Macaca fascicularis: one gene and its partners. The protein of the gene in region 1 binds, or shares a complex with, the protein of each later gene. Links are inferred from orthologs where the notes say so. Each region holds a gene or a part of one and is shown in the gene's direction. Other genes may lie near its edges.

Region 1 (3,213 bases):
ATTCTGGAATTGGATGTTAGATTTTAGGTGCTTTTTAAGATCTATAAATTCTGAACCCAGCACAAATGAAAGTAGAAAAGCCAATATTAGGAGAAGATTGAGTGCCTGTGTCTTATGTATTTTTATAACCGAAGTATTGCCATGCTTGGGCTAATGATGCTTAATAAATGTTTGTCAAGCTGTACTGCTGAAGGGATACCAGGTGTAACTAGATTTTTCCCTTTAAGCTGACAATGGCACCATGCATCTTTGGGACTGGAGAACTGGCTACAATTTTCAGAGAGTTCATGCAGCTGTGCAACCTGGCTCTTTGGACAGTGAATCAGGAATATTTGCTTGTGCTTTTGATCAGTCTGAAAGTCGATTACTAACAGCTGAAGCTGATAAAACCATTAAAGTATACAGAGAGGATGACACAGCCGTAAGTTCTCTGTTTCACATTTGTTAAGTAAAGCAGCTATACCAATTGGGCACTGTGTTCTCATTTAATTTTATCAGAAGGAAAAATAATCTTTATAGTATTTAAGATATTTGTTTTCTTGAATAGTGTCTATTTATAGATTTCTATATTATTTCACTGATGCCAGTGAATTCATGGATGGTTTTAATTTTATCCCAGCTTTCTTTGTTATAGTTGCTGGGAAATGTTGCACCAAGAATAACAGCAAATAAATAGATTGCTATGCAAATTAATTTGAGAATCATAAGCTTTGGTATTAGTAGATCCAAATAGAAATGTTATTTTAGATTAAAAACTGCAAACTAAACATAATGAATCCATCCATCTGTTATTAGACTTAGATAATGCCAGAAGTTTATCAACTCTTCCTAAAATTGTCAAAGAACTACTAAGTATATAATGCCAATGAATAATGTTAGAGGAGATACCTTATTTCTGTTAGAAAGGAAGCCTGTTAGACATGAAGCAAACTAATAATACTTTATTTTAACTTGCTTTTCTACTTTTAGACAGAAGAAACTCATCCAGTCAGCTGGAAACCAGAAATTATCAAGAGAAAGAGATTTTAATGAATGTGGAATTTTCTTTTTTTTTTTTTTTAAAAAAAAAAAAAAAAGCTTGGCGTTGATGAGGATACCCAGTCATTTTGTGCTCTGGCTGGGAATATAAAGGAGAAATTCACTTGCTTCAATCATTGCTGCTTCATATTTTACAATAAACTGTCCCCTGTCCCCTACCCTTGTGTTTTTATTTCTAAAACAATTTGTGATACTAGGAAGATGCAGATATCAAGTAAATGCAGGTTTATTGACTGTAACTATTCTAGATGTAATATTTTGACAGTCTTATTAGAACAACCCCCTTTTTAAAAAAAATGTATGAAACCGATTATTATAATAGGACATTTGAGGGAGCAGTAGGTTTTTTTTTTTAATCCTTTAAAAATTAATATCTGTGACTAATAATTTGAGATTAAAAGATTTAAAGTCTTAACTTATATATGTTTATTCCAAAAACGGTTTTTGAGTGTATGTTCTACAAAGTTCTGCACTAGATACCGTTCAGGAAATAGACAAGTAAGATGTGTCTATCCTCTAAGACTTCCAGTTTGGTAGCTTAGTATAGAAATTCTGTAATGGAGGTGCAGGTGAAATGCTGGGGGAACAGAAGTGGGGATGAGATCATTTATTTTTCTCAGGAAGGATTGTGGAAGACTTCATAGAGTAAGTGGCATTGGAGATGACTTTGAGGTGAAGGAGGACAAAGAAGGAAAAGAGATAAGGCATGAAGCGATGAAACCAGGCAGAAGAAAGTGTGCAGTGTGTCCTGGGACAAAGAATTTTCTGCTACTGTTGAATAATGGAGAGTAAAGCTGGCTTGTTGTGAGGAAAGCTCATATAAATTTGGATTTTATTCCACAACTAGTAAGATACCAATACTGCCATTGAAACTTGGGGAAAATAACTGGAGATACCAGTGCAGCTGTTTAAAACTGTAGCAAGGGCTGCAATCTTGTAGAGATTTTAAAGAGAAGTTTTAAAGTTTCTAATGCCTCTTTTTGATAAATACAAGTTTTATAAATCTTGCCCTGGGATCCTGATTCCCCTTTAGTCAAGAAGATTTGTCAGACTTCACCTTCTATAATGAGAAAACACAGTTATAAGAACAGTCAGTTTTTATAATTTTCCAAATTAAAAAATTGCACTATGATTTTGAATAAGCATTTCCAATTATATTACCCATCTTGCATGCTATAGGTGGGAGTATAATTGGCACAACCTTTAGGAATGTAGTTTTCTGGGGTTTATTGAAACTGTTTGAACCTTTTGGCCTACTAAGTTCATTTCTAGGGAACTGCCTAATGGGAATAATCTGACAAGTGTACACAAGCAAATTCATTGCACCTTTGTTCTTTAATACTTAAAACTCAAATGTCCTGTCAATAAGGGATGGTTTAATAGATGGTTCCTTTATGCAATTTGTTTCTAAGTATTCATTAAGTGAGTGAGGAATGTCTGGATTATTAGGGCAAAATTTCCAAACTTTACTCTTAGTTAAAAAAAGTTGTGCAAGCATTTTTTGTGAACAACTTAATGCTCCAAAATATAACACCACATTACTAACAGTGGCTTTGTTAGGAAGCAGAATTATGGAAGAACTTTCACGACTGGCTTTACATATTTCTATGTTTTAATTTTCTATAAGCATGTATTTCATAAACTTAAATAAAGAAAAAAGAACGCTGCACTTGCATTCCTGAGAGATTCTGATATGCCTTCTAACAACAAAAATCAGAGGTAGATGCTGTTAAAGGCCAAGAAGAAATGACTAGTACAAGGAGATGAGAAAGCCCCTACCAATCTTTTTAGCAGAGCTTCAACTATTGTGTTCAAGTTAGGTACACATATCAAATTCTGAAAAGCATTTAAAAAAATCTGTTTCCCTGCTCCATGCTGGCCTATATTACAGTGTTTCTTGAAACTTCTGTTGCATTAAGTTCATCTACCATAATGTGTTCATGGACCCTATGAAAGGTGCAGAATTTCATGCATGTGCCCTTTTACTTACCTGACAGACCCACCACCAGGGTTAAGCCCAAATCTCTTCCACTGCCCATTGCATATAGCTTAAGTGTAGTCAAGCTATAAAGTGTTACCAAAGAAAGGCAGCTCCAGAGACCGGACTCATTCTTGGTCTGTAACCACATATCTCAAGGGAGCCATCAACAATGACCAAATACACATCTCCATAGT
Region 2 (4,196 bases), on another chromosome or scaffold:
GACAAAGCCTGGGTCTAGACCGCACACTGGGCAGGGTATATAGTCTGACAACTTTATTTGGTCTTTAACTGCTTAATCAAAGGGAGGCTGCTTAGTCCAGGAGCCATGAAGAAGACAAAGTGCATGGGCAGCAGCTTGAATGGTTTGGAGACAGGAGTGCCATTCTATTACCGTTTAAGTCCTAAAGCCAAAATGGCAGGATTTTTAAGGAACTGAGGTTCCTTTTGATACTCAGACCATAAAGCTTCACAATTTTAATTGGAGACTGGCGCCCAATTCTAGAGCCTCTTTAAGAATTGTACTTATCCAATGCAAAGGTTTTCAGGGTGGCGAGGGGGGAGGATAGTCGGGGTACAGCAAGGAAGTAAAAGAGGAACGACCCCGGGTGCAGTGGCTTACGCCTGTATTCCCCACATTTTAGGAGGCCTAGGCGAGAGGATAGCTTGAGGCCAGCCTTGGCAACATAGGAAGGCTCCAACTCTACAAAAAAATTTTAAAATGGCCGGGCGCTGTGGCTCAAGCCTATAATCCCAGCACTTTGGGAGGCCGAGGCGGGCGGATCACGAGGTCAGGAGATCGAGATCATCCTGGCTAACACGGTGAAAATACAAAAAATACAAAAAATTAGCCGGGCATGGAGGCGGACGCCTTGTAGTCCCAGCTACTAGGAGGCTGAGGCAGGAGAATGGCGTGAACGCAGGAGGCGGAGCTTGCAGTGAGCCGAGATCGCGCCACTGCACTCCAGCCTGGGCGACAGAGTGAGACTCCGTCTCGAAAAAAAAAAAAAAAAATTAAAAATTAGCCAGGCGTGGTGGTGTGCACCTCTAGGCCCAGCGGCTCAGGAGGCTGAGGTGGAAGGATCGCTTGGGCCTGGGGGGGTTGAGGCTGCAGTGAACTATGATCGCGCCACTGCACTCCAACCTGGGCAGCAGAACAAGAGCGTGTGTCCATAATAAAAAAGGAAAGAAGTCCGGCACAGAGGAAGAGAAGATTAAGGGGAGACGGTGGCAGTAAGCAGAGGTGGGAAATCAGTTATCTCTCCCCGTCAAATCCTGCAGCCAGTTCCCTCCGAAAGTGTTAAGGGGCTCCCGTTCCAGATATCAATGTTTTGGAGGAAACGAAAAGCCCTAACTTCAAATAGCCACCATTCGCTGGCAAAAAAAATACAGTAAGCAGAAGACAGGAAATTGAGGCCTTCCGCTGACGCAATGAAGCCAAGACTGACGTCACGTCCGCCCAAAACAAAGCAGCCCGGCAATTTCTAGATACCGGGCGGACCCGCCTTCAAAATTAGCAACTGAGCATGCGCGAACGTCAATATGCCGGGAACGTGATTACATCAGTGTCAGGCGCCGGCGTATCTAAATAGAACTCAGTTTACGCAAACGCAGAAAACGCAGGCAAACCTGAGGTCCTCGGAATGGCGGGCACGGGTTTGGTGGCCGGAGAGGTTGTGGTGGATGCGCTGCCGTATTTTGATCAAGGTTATGAAGCCCCTGGTGTGCGGGAAGCGGTGAGTGCGGGGTGTCTTTGTAGCTGACTCACTGTTCGCTGGCTCGGTACCGAAAGAAACATGTTACAATTTGCCGCTTCTACCCTGGCCCCAATTCTCTTTCTAAGGCTGCAGCGCTGGTGGAGGAGGAAACTCGCAGATACCGACCTACTAAGAACTACCTGAGCTACCTAACAGCCCCGGATTATTCTGCCTTTGAAGTAAGTATGTCTTGACCCCGGGTATGAACGAGGATTCCTGTGAACCTTTATTTTGGATTGAGAGCTTCAGCTACGTAAAAGTGATTTTTAAATTCCAGTTTTAACCATTGCCTGCATAGGTACCAGTCTGTTGAAAACAGCTAGATAGATAAGTCTTCTCCGAGGTTCTTATTCTAAGATCCATAGGAAGACTTTCTGGGACTCCACGACTCACTTAATGCAAAAATTTGTGGCCACAATTCTTTGAGATAGGATCCATGCGTAAATTCTCAAAGGGACCCTCTCCTGCCAAGAGTCACTCTACAGCAGGTGATCTAGAATTTTTTAGTATGTATAAGCCTAATTACCTAAGCTCTTTAGAACCACTGGAGAGTGGCGTATTAAAGTCTAGTTATTTACCAAACGTTTGTGGTATGACTGAAGGGACAAACCATATCCAAGTGTATACTACTCTTTTCTCAGCCTTCTCCTTTTTTCTATAATCTGTCCGATGTTTTTATTAACACAGTTCTGATTAATGTAGGCAAGAACTTTCCCTGATACGAATACTTTCCAAGTGCTAGGTGCCATTCTAGATTCTGAAATCATAGAGATAAAAATATCTGGGTTTTAAAAAAATATGTATTTTGCTGTATTTTAATTTTTCTTTTCTTTATTTAAGACAAGCATCGTCTCCAAAAAAAGATAGGGTTTCTGAATACAGAAAAATACAATACAATGAGGAGCTAGATATATAAAACAGAAAGTTTACAATAGTATGTATAAATGTGTAATAATATGTAAAGGACCTGTAGTGGAGGTATATATAAGGACAAGAGAATTAGAGAAAGGAGTGCCCATGCTTGCCTAGGGAGTCAGATGCTGTTCTACTGCACACAGTGAGTATGATACTATTTTAAATGTATAACCTTGAAGTACACCCAAGATTCTAGTTAGGGTCTAATTAGCTAAGTGAAATGTAAGTTATTTCTAAATTATTGGATTCAAGTATTTCAATATGTACAACTTGGAGGTTTTTTTCCCATTATACCTAATCGTTTATTTATGAAAGGATTGTATTATTAAAAGGCAGTATTTAGCTGGGTGTGGTGGCTCACACCTGTAATCCCAGCACTTTAGGAGGCTGAGGTGTGAGGATCACTTGAGACCAGCCTGTGCAGCATAGTGAGACCCTTTCTCTACAAAAGAAAAACTAAAAAATTAGCCAAGCATGATGGCATGCACCTGTAGCCCAAGCCACTCAGGAGGCTGAGGTGGAAGGATCACTTGAGCCTGGAAGTTCAAGGCTGCTACAGTGAGCCATGATAATACCATTGCGCTCCAGCCTGGCGACAGACTGAGATCCTGTCTCAGAGGGAAAAAAAAAAAAAGATATTATTTACATTAAAGTAACGTGAAAAAATAGTTAAGTTTGTTGTTTTTGTTTGAGACGGAGTCTTACTCTGTCACCCAGCCTGGAGTGCAGTGGTGCCATTTCTGCTCACTGCAACCTCCACCTTCCGAGCTCAAGTGATTCTCCTGCCTCAGCCTCGCGAGCAGCTAGGATTACAGGTGCCTGCCACCATGCCTGGCTAATTTTTGTATTTTCAGTAGAGATGGGGTGTCACCACGTTGGCCAGGCTTTTCTTGAACTCCTGGCCTCAAGTGATCCGCCCACCTCATCCTCCCAAAGTGTTGGGATACGGGGTGAACCACCACGCCCTGCCTTGGCTAAGTTTTAAGTAGAAGACATATGTTTCTATGAACGTGTTTTCCTATGCTTTTTCCAAATATTGTTACCTAGGTGTAGATGTTAACCACGTTAAGAACTAAGTACAGTGGCTCACACCTGTAATCCCAGCACCTTGGGAGGCTGAGGCGAGTGGATCACGAGGTCAGGAAATCGAGACCATCCTCTACTAAAAATACAAAAAATTAACTGGGCATGGTGGCGGGTGCCTGTAGTCCCAGCTACTCAGAAGGCTGAGGCAGAAGAATGGCCTGAACCCGGGAGGCGGAGCTTGCAGTGAGCCAAGATGGCGCCACTGCACTCCAGCCTGGGCGACAGAGCGAGACTCCATCTCATTAAAAAAAAAAAAAGAGAATTAAGTACAGTAATGCTTCTTGGACTGATTTCTGACGTTTTCAAATAACTGCATTCAATCACAGACTTCTTATAATACTTTTGCCAGTTTTTTTCCTTCTCTCAAATACCTTTGTAATTAGTTTACTGATTATTTAATTAGCAAACTCCTGGGTTCAAATGATTCTCCTGTAATTAGTTTACTGATTATTTAATCCTTTCTTTTTTTGAGACAGAGTCTTGCTCTGTCGCCTAGGCTGGAGTGCATGCAACTCCTTGGCTCACTGCAACCTCTGCCTCCTGGGTTCAAGCGATTCTCCTCCCCCAGCCTCCCAAGTGGCTGGGATTACAGGCATGCACTACCATGCCCAACTAATTTTTGTATTTTTAGTACAGACAGGGTTTCACCATTGTGGCCAGG
Region 3 (3,927 bases), on another chromosome or scaffold:
TGTTCTGCAGTGGCAAAGCCAGTTTGAGGAGACGCTCTCAGCTACTAGAACTTCCAAGTAAGCTGGTAGTTGAGGAGAGAAAATCTTTTAAGTAATTATTCTGCAGAGTTCACCGTTTTTAGGTCAGTAACTTCTGGACACAGAATTTGAGAGTTAGAATAAATCTTATATATAATTCAACAAAGCTCCTTCTTTTTATAAGGAAACTGAGGCCCAGAAGCACAAAACGACCACTCTATGGCCACGGAGCAGCTACATACAACAGGAAGAGCTAGGAGTAGAACCCGGACACCCGGTGGGTCCTAGCGACTTCTAGGACAGACGACGCCTCTGGTTACCTGGGTCGGCCAAGTGTTCCCACTTCAAATTTTAGTTTTAAGCCATACCACAGTTAAGGTAGTTTTTCTTGGCTGCTCGCCCCCTTAGGCCCACAGTTACAGTCTCCCCCTCCTCCCTCCCTTCCACAATACACTTTCCCTGTAATCCCATGCAGCTGGGGCTTGGCTCCTGGGGGAAGACAGTTACTTTCTTTCCTTCAGAGTGTATCTTTGGAGTGTAAACTTTTTCATGTAAACAAAACAAACCTGTGAATTTTAAGGCCTCCGCCTAAGTCCCCATAGGCACTGATCCCCACACCCCGCACCCTACCCTACCCTCCCTTGTGCTCCCTTCGGATCTCGGACGCAGAGGCCCTGTAATTGCTCCTTACCTGGGACTGCCATGACGATGGTAAGGGGTCACTTGAGCCTCCGGCTTTCGAAGTGGCGCTTGCTTCCCGCCAGCTGCGAGAACAAGGCACAGCCAAAGCGCCGTTTTCCTTCCCCCAGCGCAGCAGCACCTTCGCTACGGTGAGGAAGGCCCTTTACGTTTCTAGCGGCAGCAGAACCAGTAGACGCGGATGCAGTTTCCGGACGAGTCATAGTGCAGAAGACACATGGTCCGAACCATTACTGATAGTTTTTTTTGGGGGGGGTCAGTTTGATCTGCACACGCGAGTAGTGTAAACACAGCCAAGACTTATGAAGTGTCCCTTCTAATATTGTAATACAAATTACATTAAGCTATAATAACTTTACAGACTTCTCTCGTTCCCTGGAGTACACTGGAATAACCCTTCTCAGGGTTAGCGGTGCTCGGGTCCGGTAACAACATGGCGGCGTCCGTGAGGGGCTCCTTTAGGCAAGGGTAGTGTTTGGTGTCCCCGTCTTGCGTGATATTGACAAACTGAAGTTTTCCTGCACCACTCGACTTAAGAAAGAGTGTACTCCTAGGCGGACAGCTTTAGTGACCGGCCGTCCGCTCTAATCCCTCATAAGGAGCAGAGTCCTTTGTACTGACCAGGATGAGCAACATCTACATCCAGGAGCCTCCCACGAATGGGAAGGTGAGAGCCTCATCTAGGGAACTTGGGGTCCTGGGATCTCCAAAGTGAGATTTCCCAAATTTGGGGTGGGGGACGGGTTTCGGGATCTCGGGGTAGGAAGAGACCACGATAAGTGTTGTCTTTATTCCTGCATGTGGACAATGTTGCGTCGAAACACTGAAGTTTATACTTTTCAGGACGTACTTGAAAAAGTCAGGTGGAGATTTCTCTACCTACCAGCATTCCGGTCCTGTTTTCTGCTTTAAGCCAGCTCATGCAACCGATTTCTAGAGTCTTAGGTTTTTAAACGTACATTTCTGAGTTTGATATATTCTTTGCTTAACTTTGAGGTCATTCATTCTGCATTTCTTCTGCAATCATTAATTGAACGCCTGCTAGGCACTGGGCACTGTACTAGGCGCCGGAGATACAAAGATGGATGGGTAAGGTAGTTGTTTTCCCGGAAGAGCTTATAGTTTAGTTTGTGAGACAGGTAAACAAAAGCCTGTATGTCTGATAAGCGTGCTTGTGGAGAAGAGACCAGGTTGCTATGGCGGTACTGAGTAGTGAACAACTGGGAAAGTTAGGAAAAACCTCATGGAAAAGGTATCTTTTGAGCTGATTTTAAAACCTGAGATGACTGTCAGTCAGAGAAAGTGGGAAATGGGGACTGTTACCACATTAGAGTGGGGAAAGGTTTCTCTAATTGATTTGATGGCTAATGTATGCCAATTCCCATCCAAGGTGTTTGTGTTGAAGAGTCCGTTGTGGAATAACTGTCACCTGAATTCTTAAATTGAGACCTAGCCTATCTCATATGAAATTTGATGAATCAGCATATTGGAGAAAATGAGATTTAAAGTATATAGTTGAATTAAGATAAGCTAAATTTACACAACATACCATCCTGTTCGTTACATGATTACATCATAAATAATTTATGCAGTCTTTTATTCATTGACATTTGATAATATAATGAGAGCAATTTAAAAGCAAAACCAAAAATGCTGTAATTCCCAGCAAAAATTTAATGGGTATTTTGGGCAGCTCAATTCTTTCAATTCTTTGAACTTCTCCTGGGCATTGTAGGTTACTGGGTCCATCCCACCCCTCACCTATCTTATTTAATATCAATGTGAAAACCCAAAATACCTACCTCCTCCTATTTCCAAATGTTTCTTGAGGGCAGTATCACCCCCAGTTAATAAATACTGGTAGAGATTGAATAGATTTACCATACTGCCAGACAGGGCGTTCACACTTGCTGTTCCTCTGTTTAATCAAGTGTTGACCTTAGCAAAGAGTCCTTTCTTACCTACTTTCTATGAAATAGCAAACTTCAATCATGCCTTGCATCCCAGCATTCTCTGGCCCCCTTAACTTTTTTAGTTTTTTTCCATGGTATTTATTAATTATTTGGTATTACTGTATCCTTCCTCCTACCTTCCCCCTATAGAATGCAAGGAACATCAGGGCAGAGACAAGCATCTAGAACAGTACTTGATACATGATAGAAGGAGTTCAGTTATGTATTGAATAAACGAATGGATGGATGAATTAATACTATATTTTTCTTAGTTTTTTGAGGAATATTAAGCATCAGTGAGTTTGAGGTTACACTGCTGCTGGTCAAGGACAGACTTAATTGCTTTGTTGTAAAGGAAGATTTGACATGGTCACATAGATGAAAAGCTTTAACAAGGATATATTCCTGAATAGATTATTCATTCAACAAATAATGATTGAGCAAATCAATTGCCAGGCTCTATGCTAGGTTTTAGGGATACAACGGAAACAAAAAAAACCACATTGTCTGAGTTATCATGAGTTAATTGAGTGAAGTATACATTGACTGAATAATCATGCAAATAAATGTTTAACTACAAAATGTGATAAATACTGTCTTCTGAACAGAAATGGGCTGAATGATAACACAAGGGCCCAAGTTTTCATCCAAAAACAACTTGGGACTTTTTCCACCATAAGGCTCATCAAAGATATTAAAGCTTCTAAGTTCTGTAAGGTTGAGAGTGTGGACAAAAATTTGGTGTGTAAAGAATTTGAAGCAAATGTAATAAGTCTGTTCAATGAATGTTTATTGCCTTTACTATCTAATGGTACATTAGGTACTGAAAGGGTACAGAGACATTCAGAGTAAATGGGACAAAATTCCTCCCTTCAAAGTGCTTAGTATCAGCTTGGGAAGTAATTGATAATGATACCAGTGCTTGGTCCCTGGTTGTCCATAAATGTTCTGTGTTTTGCTGTAACCCTAGCCCCTGAAGATGAGGCAAAGAAATATAGTACTTGATAGAAATTTTTTAAGCATAAGAGGTAATTCCCTGAAGATGAAATTTCCACATATTATGATCACTTATTCTAAATTGTGTCTGGCATCTTCACTTAGCATAATGTTGCTTTCAAATGATAGGGGTCTGTCTTATTGTTGTACACACTTAGTTTTTAAATGTATTGAAAATCAAAATGGCTTTATAAGTATATTTGCATATATATTTATAAGAAACATGATATTATCAAAGTATTAATTGGGAATTTTAAGAGAA
Region 4 (4,234 bases), on another chromosome or scaffold:
ATGTACAACATACTGACTATAGCTAATAATTCTGTATTGTTTACTTGAAGCTTGCTAAGACAAATTTAAGTGCCCCCCACCAAACTAGTACATAAATAAGTCTAGTGAAGGATGTTTTAATTAATTTGATTTTGGTAATCATTACACAATGTATAATTATATCCAATCATCACATTGTACACCTTGAATATATATAATTTTTGTCAAATAACCTTAATAAAGCTGGGAAGAAAACGATAAAAAAGTGACAATCTAACATATGATAAGGTAAAAAGATATTTCAAGAAATTTGGATGACCTCTTGCACCCCACTTTGCTAGCCTCTACTCCCAAGAGTCATGTTCTGGCTATGTGAAGTTGAGCAACTTCTTAAATCTTGCCAAGCTTCAGTTCTTATCTGTAAAATGTGATATTGAAACGATTTGAGAATTGTGAGGGTTAAATGAGATAATTCAGGTAAAGCTCTAAAACCCCTGCCAAGAATAAAGTCTTTTCTTCCCCCCCAAAACTTGAGTATTAGAATTCATTCTCTCTGGTTTCTCTCTTTTGCTATGCTAAAAATAGATCCAGGTCCTTTTCATTGTCAAGATGTTAGTTTCCTTCAAAAGATAACTGCGAGCTACTTGTAATATAACACCAGAAGAGTTATACAGGTCTTAGAAACTACGTTTTTCATAGTAATTATGTTGGTTTGCACTTCCTGGCTTCCCTTCTCAGACGGTAGGTACCTGGAAGCCTAGTGGAGCAGATTCTCCCCACTTGAAGATACTTATAAAAATAACGAACATAGTTCCGATGACCATATGCCCACCATATGCCCAACACTGCTCTGCGCACTTCACACAGTAGTGTTATCTCAGCCTGTGACCATTCCGAGTTAGGTGCCGGGATTCTCCCCGCTTTGTGATAACTTGCCCGAGGTAGTACAGCTAGCCAGCTATGGAACCAGCGCCTGTAGTCCCAGCTACTCGGGAGGCTGAGGCAGGAGAGTGGCGAGAACCCGGGAGGCGGAGCTTGCAGTGAGCTGAGATCCGGCCACTGCACTTCAGCCTGGGCGGCAGAGCGAGACTCCGTCTCAAAAAAAAAACAAAAAACAAAAAACAAACTCGGCTACGCTGCAGCCTGTGGCCCTCCACTTTCTTGCCCGTGCTCTGCAGTTTAGGTAACCTCTGGGGGCGGGGTCTTTTGGGTCAGGTTGTGGCCTCACAGAACAGCGCTTGCTGCGGTTGGATGGATGGGTGGGTGGGTGGATGAAGAGAAGAAACCTGGTGGCGTCGTCCCAGGGCTGTGGAGCGCCCCGAAGGTGAGCGCATCCCCCGCGAGGGCACCTGCCAGCCGCGCAGTTCTCAGCACTCTCCGCCACTTCCGGCCCTGGCCCCGCCCCCTCGGGTGGCTGGCGTCCGTTACGCGTTGAGGAATTTTGTCCCCAGCGCCGACCCGTCTCTGCCCTCGCCGCTGCCATGGCGGCAGCTCCGCCGCTTTCCAAGGCCGAGTATCTGAAGCGTTACTTGTCCGGGGCAGATGCCGGCGTCGACCGGGGGTCTGAGTCCGGTCGCAAGCGTCGCAAAAAGCGGCCGAAGCCTGGCGGGGCCGGCGGCAAGGGGTGAGTTGGTACCGGCCGGGGCGGGGCCTGCAACGACTCGCCACCCCTCACCCTTCCCAACTCCGCCCTCGGTCGCCTGGCGACTCCTTCCCTCTTGGCGGGTCTCCCGGCTTCTCCGCCGACCCCTGCTCATGCCCAGGGCCCCACTCACATCGCTTGAGGCCCCGCATTGCCTCTGCCGCCCCGCTTACACCTCGAGCCTCTGAGCAGTAGCGTCAGTGCGTTAGAGCCGGGCTGTAACTTTGATTACTCTTTTCCCGCCTTGGTAGACTTCCGTCCTCTCCCATGGAGAATGAATATTGCGCCCCGAGAATAATGGAGCGGATTCAAAGCCTCTGTGCTTGAATCTTTAGGGCCCGGTACCTGCCTGTGGGGATTCCCAAATCCCAAGGACTTGGTTCTGAATCAGAGACCTTGGATCACCTCCTGTTACTCTTAGTAATAGTCCTACTAACAAGAGAAGTTAACATTTACATAATTATACTTTTCTTGCCAGGCAACATTATAAGAAATTTAAACATAAGTTTGTTTAAGCCTTACAACAGTACCATGAACTGGGTATTATTTTCAAATGGGAAAACTTTGTGGCCCAATATAGTGGGCCCTACCAAATCGTTTTCCACCCAGAACCACAGAATGTGACATTTAGAAATAGGGTCTTTGGAGATGTAATCAGTTAAGATGAAGTCATACTTGATTAAGGTGGGTGCCAAATACAAAATGACTGTTTTCCTTTTAAAAAGAGGGAAGTATGGATACAGACACAGCAACAAAGGAAAAACGACCATGTCTAGATGAAGGCTGAGATTGGATTGGATTTATGTTGCCAAAAGCCAAGGTATGCCTGGGGCTACCAGAAGCTGGGAGAGGCAAGGAAAGATCCTTCCCTACCGACTTTGCAGGGAGGATGGCCTTGCAGACACCTGGATTTCAGATTGCTAGCTTCCAGAACTGTGAGAGTTTCTGTTGTTTTATGCCACGCAATTTTGTGGTACTTTGTTACAGTAACCCTAAGGCACTAAGATACCCAGTGAAGTCACATTGTTCTAAAGAACTAGTCCATGTTGTTTTCTGGTTTGGTGCTTGCCTTATTATTGTCCTCGTCTTTCTGCTTCGCTGACTTGTGTGGATCCTTTGGAGGCAGTGCCATGTGATGAAAGTAGCTTGAGTGTTGGAGCAGCACTGGTCAGAGTTCGAATCCTAGCTGTGCCACTTTATAGGCTGTGTACCCTTGGGCAAAGTGTTTCATCTCACTGAACTGCAGTTTCCTTATCTTTAAAATGGGAATAATACTGAATAATAATGCTTTTATGAAGTGGTGGTTGTGATTAGAGGGATTGCATTAAGTGACCCTGGCTTTTTGAATAACTTCACATCATGGCAGTCATGGTTATTATTGGGGCTCAACTATAGTTTATCCATGTAACAAGCATTTATTGAATACACTGTATTCCAGTTACTGAGGATGCCTCTGTGAACAAAAAGAAACATAGTCCCTGTTCTTGTGGAGCTTATAGTTTAGTGGGAATACAGGCTTTAAGCAACTAATTACACAACTAATTGGTGTATTTTCTTTATGATAAATGCAATGAAAGTATTCCAAGAGTTTTTAACAAGAGTTCTTAGTCTTTTTTTTTTTTTTTTTTTTTTGAGACAGAGTCTCACTCTGTCCCCCAGGCTGGAGTGCAGTGGCATGATCTCAGCTCACTGCAAGCTCCAACTACAGGGTTCACGCCATTCTCCTGCCTCAGCCTCCCAAGTAGCTGGGACTACAGGCACCCGCCACCACACCTGGCTAATTTTTTGTATTTTTAGTAGAGACAGGGTTTCACCATGTTAGCCAGGTTGGTCTCGATCTCCTGACCTCATGATCCACCTGCCTCAGCCTCCAAGTGTTGGGATTACAGGCGTGAGCCACTGGGCCCGGCCGGGTCCGTGGTCTTGAGTGAGTGTGAGATAGTGGGGGAATCCGGGAAGCAGTCAAGAAAAGTTTGCCAGACTGGGTGCGATGGCTCTCGCCTGTAATCCCAGCACTTTGGGAGGCCGAGGCGGGCGGATCATGAGGTCAGGAGATCAAGACCATCCTGGCTAACACAGTGAAACCCCATCTGTACTAAAAAAATACAAAAAATTAGCCGGGCATAGTGGCAGGCGCCTGTAGTCCCAGCTACTCGGGAGGCTGAGGCAGGAGAATGGCACGATCCCGGGAGGCGGAGCTTGCAGTGAGCTGAGATTGTGCCACTGCACTCCAACCTGGGCGACAGAGCAAGACTCCGTCTCAAAAAAAAAAAAAAAAAAAGTTTGCCAAAGGAAGTTAAATTTGTGTTAGGACCTGAAAAATGAGGAAGAGTTTCCTGGAATGAGGAAGAGTTTCCTAGCACTTTGGGAGGCCAAGGCGGGTGGATTGCTTGCATATAGGAGTTTGGGACCAGTCTGGGCAACATGGTTAAACCCTGTTTCTACAAAAAATTAAAAAAAAAAAAAGTCAGGCACAGTGGCACATGCCTGTAGTCTCAGCTACTTGGGAGACTGAGTGGAGAGAATAACTTAACCCCAGGAAGTCAAAGCTGCAGGGAGCCATGATGGTGCCCCTGCACTCCAGCCTGGGCAACAGTGTGAGACCCTGTCTCA

What was found. Proteins that work in one complex are often made in the same cells at the same time.
Region 2: PLRG1 (region 1) and BCAS2 share a complex: the UniProt entries of both Homo sapiens proteins name them as parts of the PRP19-CDC5L splicing complex. The link is inferred for Macaca fascicularis from reciprocal best matches to the Homo sapiens genes PLRG1 and BCAS2.
Region 3: PLRG1 (region 1) and CWC27 share a complex: the UniProt entries of both Homo sapiens proteins name them as parts of the minor spliceosome. The link is inferred for Macaca fascicularis from reciprocal best matches to the Homo sapiens genes PLRG1 and CWC27.
Region 4: PLRG1 (region 1) and BUD13 share a complex: the UniProt entries of both Homo sapiens proteins name them as parts of the minor spliceosome. The link is inferred for Macaca fascicularis from reciprocal best matches to the Homo sapiens genes PLRG1 and BUD13.

The regions. Positions count from the first base shown.
Region 1 is NC_088379.1:159,452,126-159,455,338, reverse strand, and holds the end of PLRG1 (pleiotropic regulator 1), read left to right. Parts: intron 1-227; coding exon 228-421; intron 422-969; coding exon 970-1,029; 3' UTR 1,030-2,713; downstream 2,714-3,213. UniProt on the Homo sapiens protein: Involved in pre-mRNA splicing as component of the spliceosome. Component of the PRP19-CDC5L complex that forms an integral part of the spliceosome and is required for activating pre-mRNA splicing.
Region 2 is NC_088375.1:119,787,988-119,792,183, forward strand, and holds the start of BCAS2 (pre-mRNA-splicing factor SPF27), read left to right. Parts: upstream 1-1,396; 5' UTR 1,397-1,420; coding exon 1,421-1,513; intron 1,514-1,620; coding exon 1,621-1,713; intron 1,714-4,196. UniProt on the Homo sapiens protein: Required for pre-mRNA splicing as component of the activated spliceosome. Component of the PRP19-CDC5L complex that forms an integral part of the spliceosome and is required for activating pre-mRNA splicing.
Region 3 is NC_088380.1:70,438,524-70,442,450, forward strand, and holds the start of CWC27 (spliceosome-associated protein CWC27 homolog), read left to right. Parts: upstream 1-1,127; 5' UTR 1,128-1,342; coding exon 1,343-1,384; intron 1,385-3,927. UniProt on the Homo sapiens protein: As part of the spliceosome, plays a role in pre-mRNA splicing. Probable inactive PPIase with no peptidyl-prolyl cis-trans isomerase activity. As a component of the minor spliceosome, involved in the splicing of U12-type introns in pre-mRNAs.
Region 4 is NC_088388.1:115,624,520-115,628,753, reverse strand, and holds the start of BUD13 (BUD13 homolog), read left to right. Parts: upstream 1-1,434; 5' UTR 1,435-1,460; coding exon 1,461-1,603; intron 1,604-2,346; exon of another isoform or gene 2,347-2,397; coding exon of another isoform or gene 2,398-2,441; intron 2,442-4,234. UniProt on the Homo sapiens protein: Involved in pre-mRNA splicing as component of the activated spliceosome. As a component of the minor spliceosome, involved in the splicing of U12-type introns in pre-mRNAs.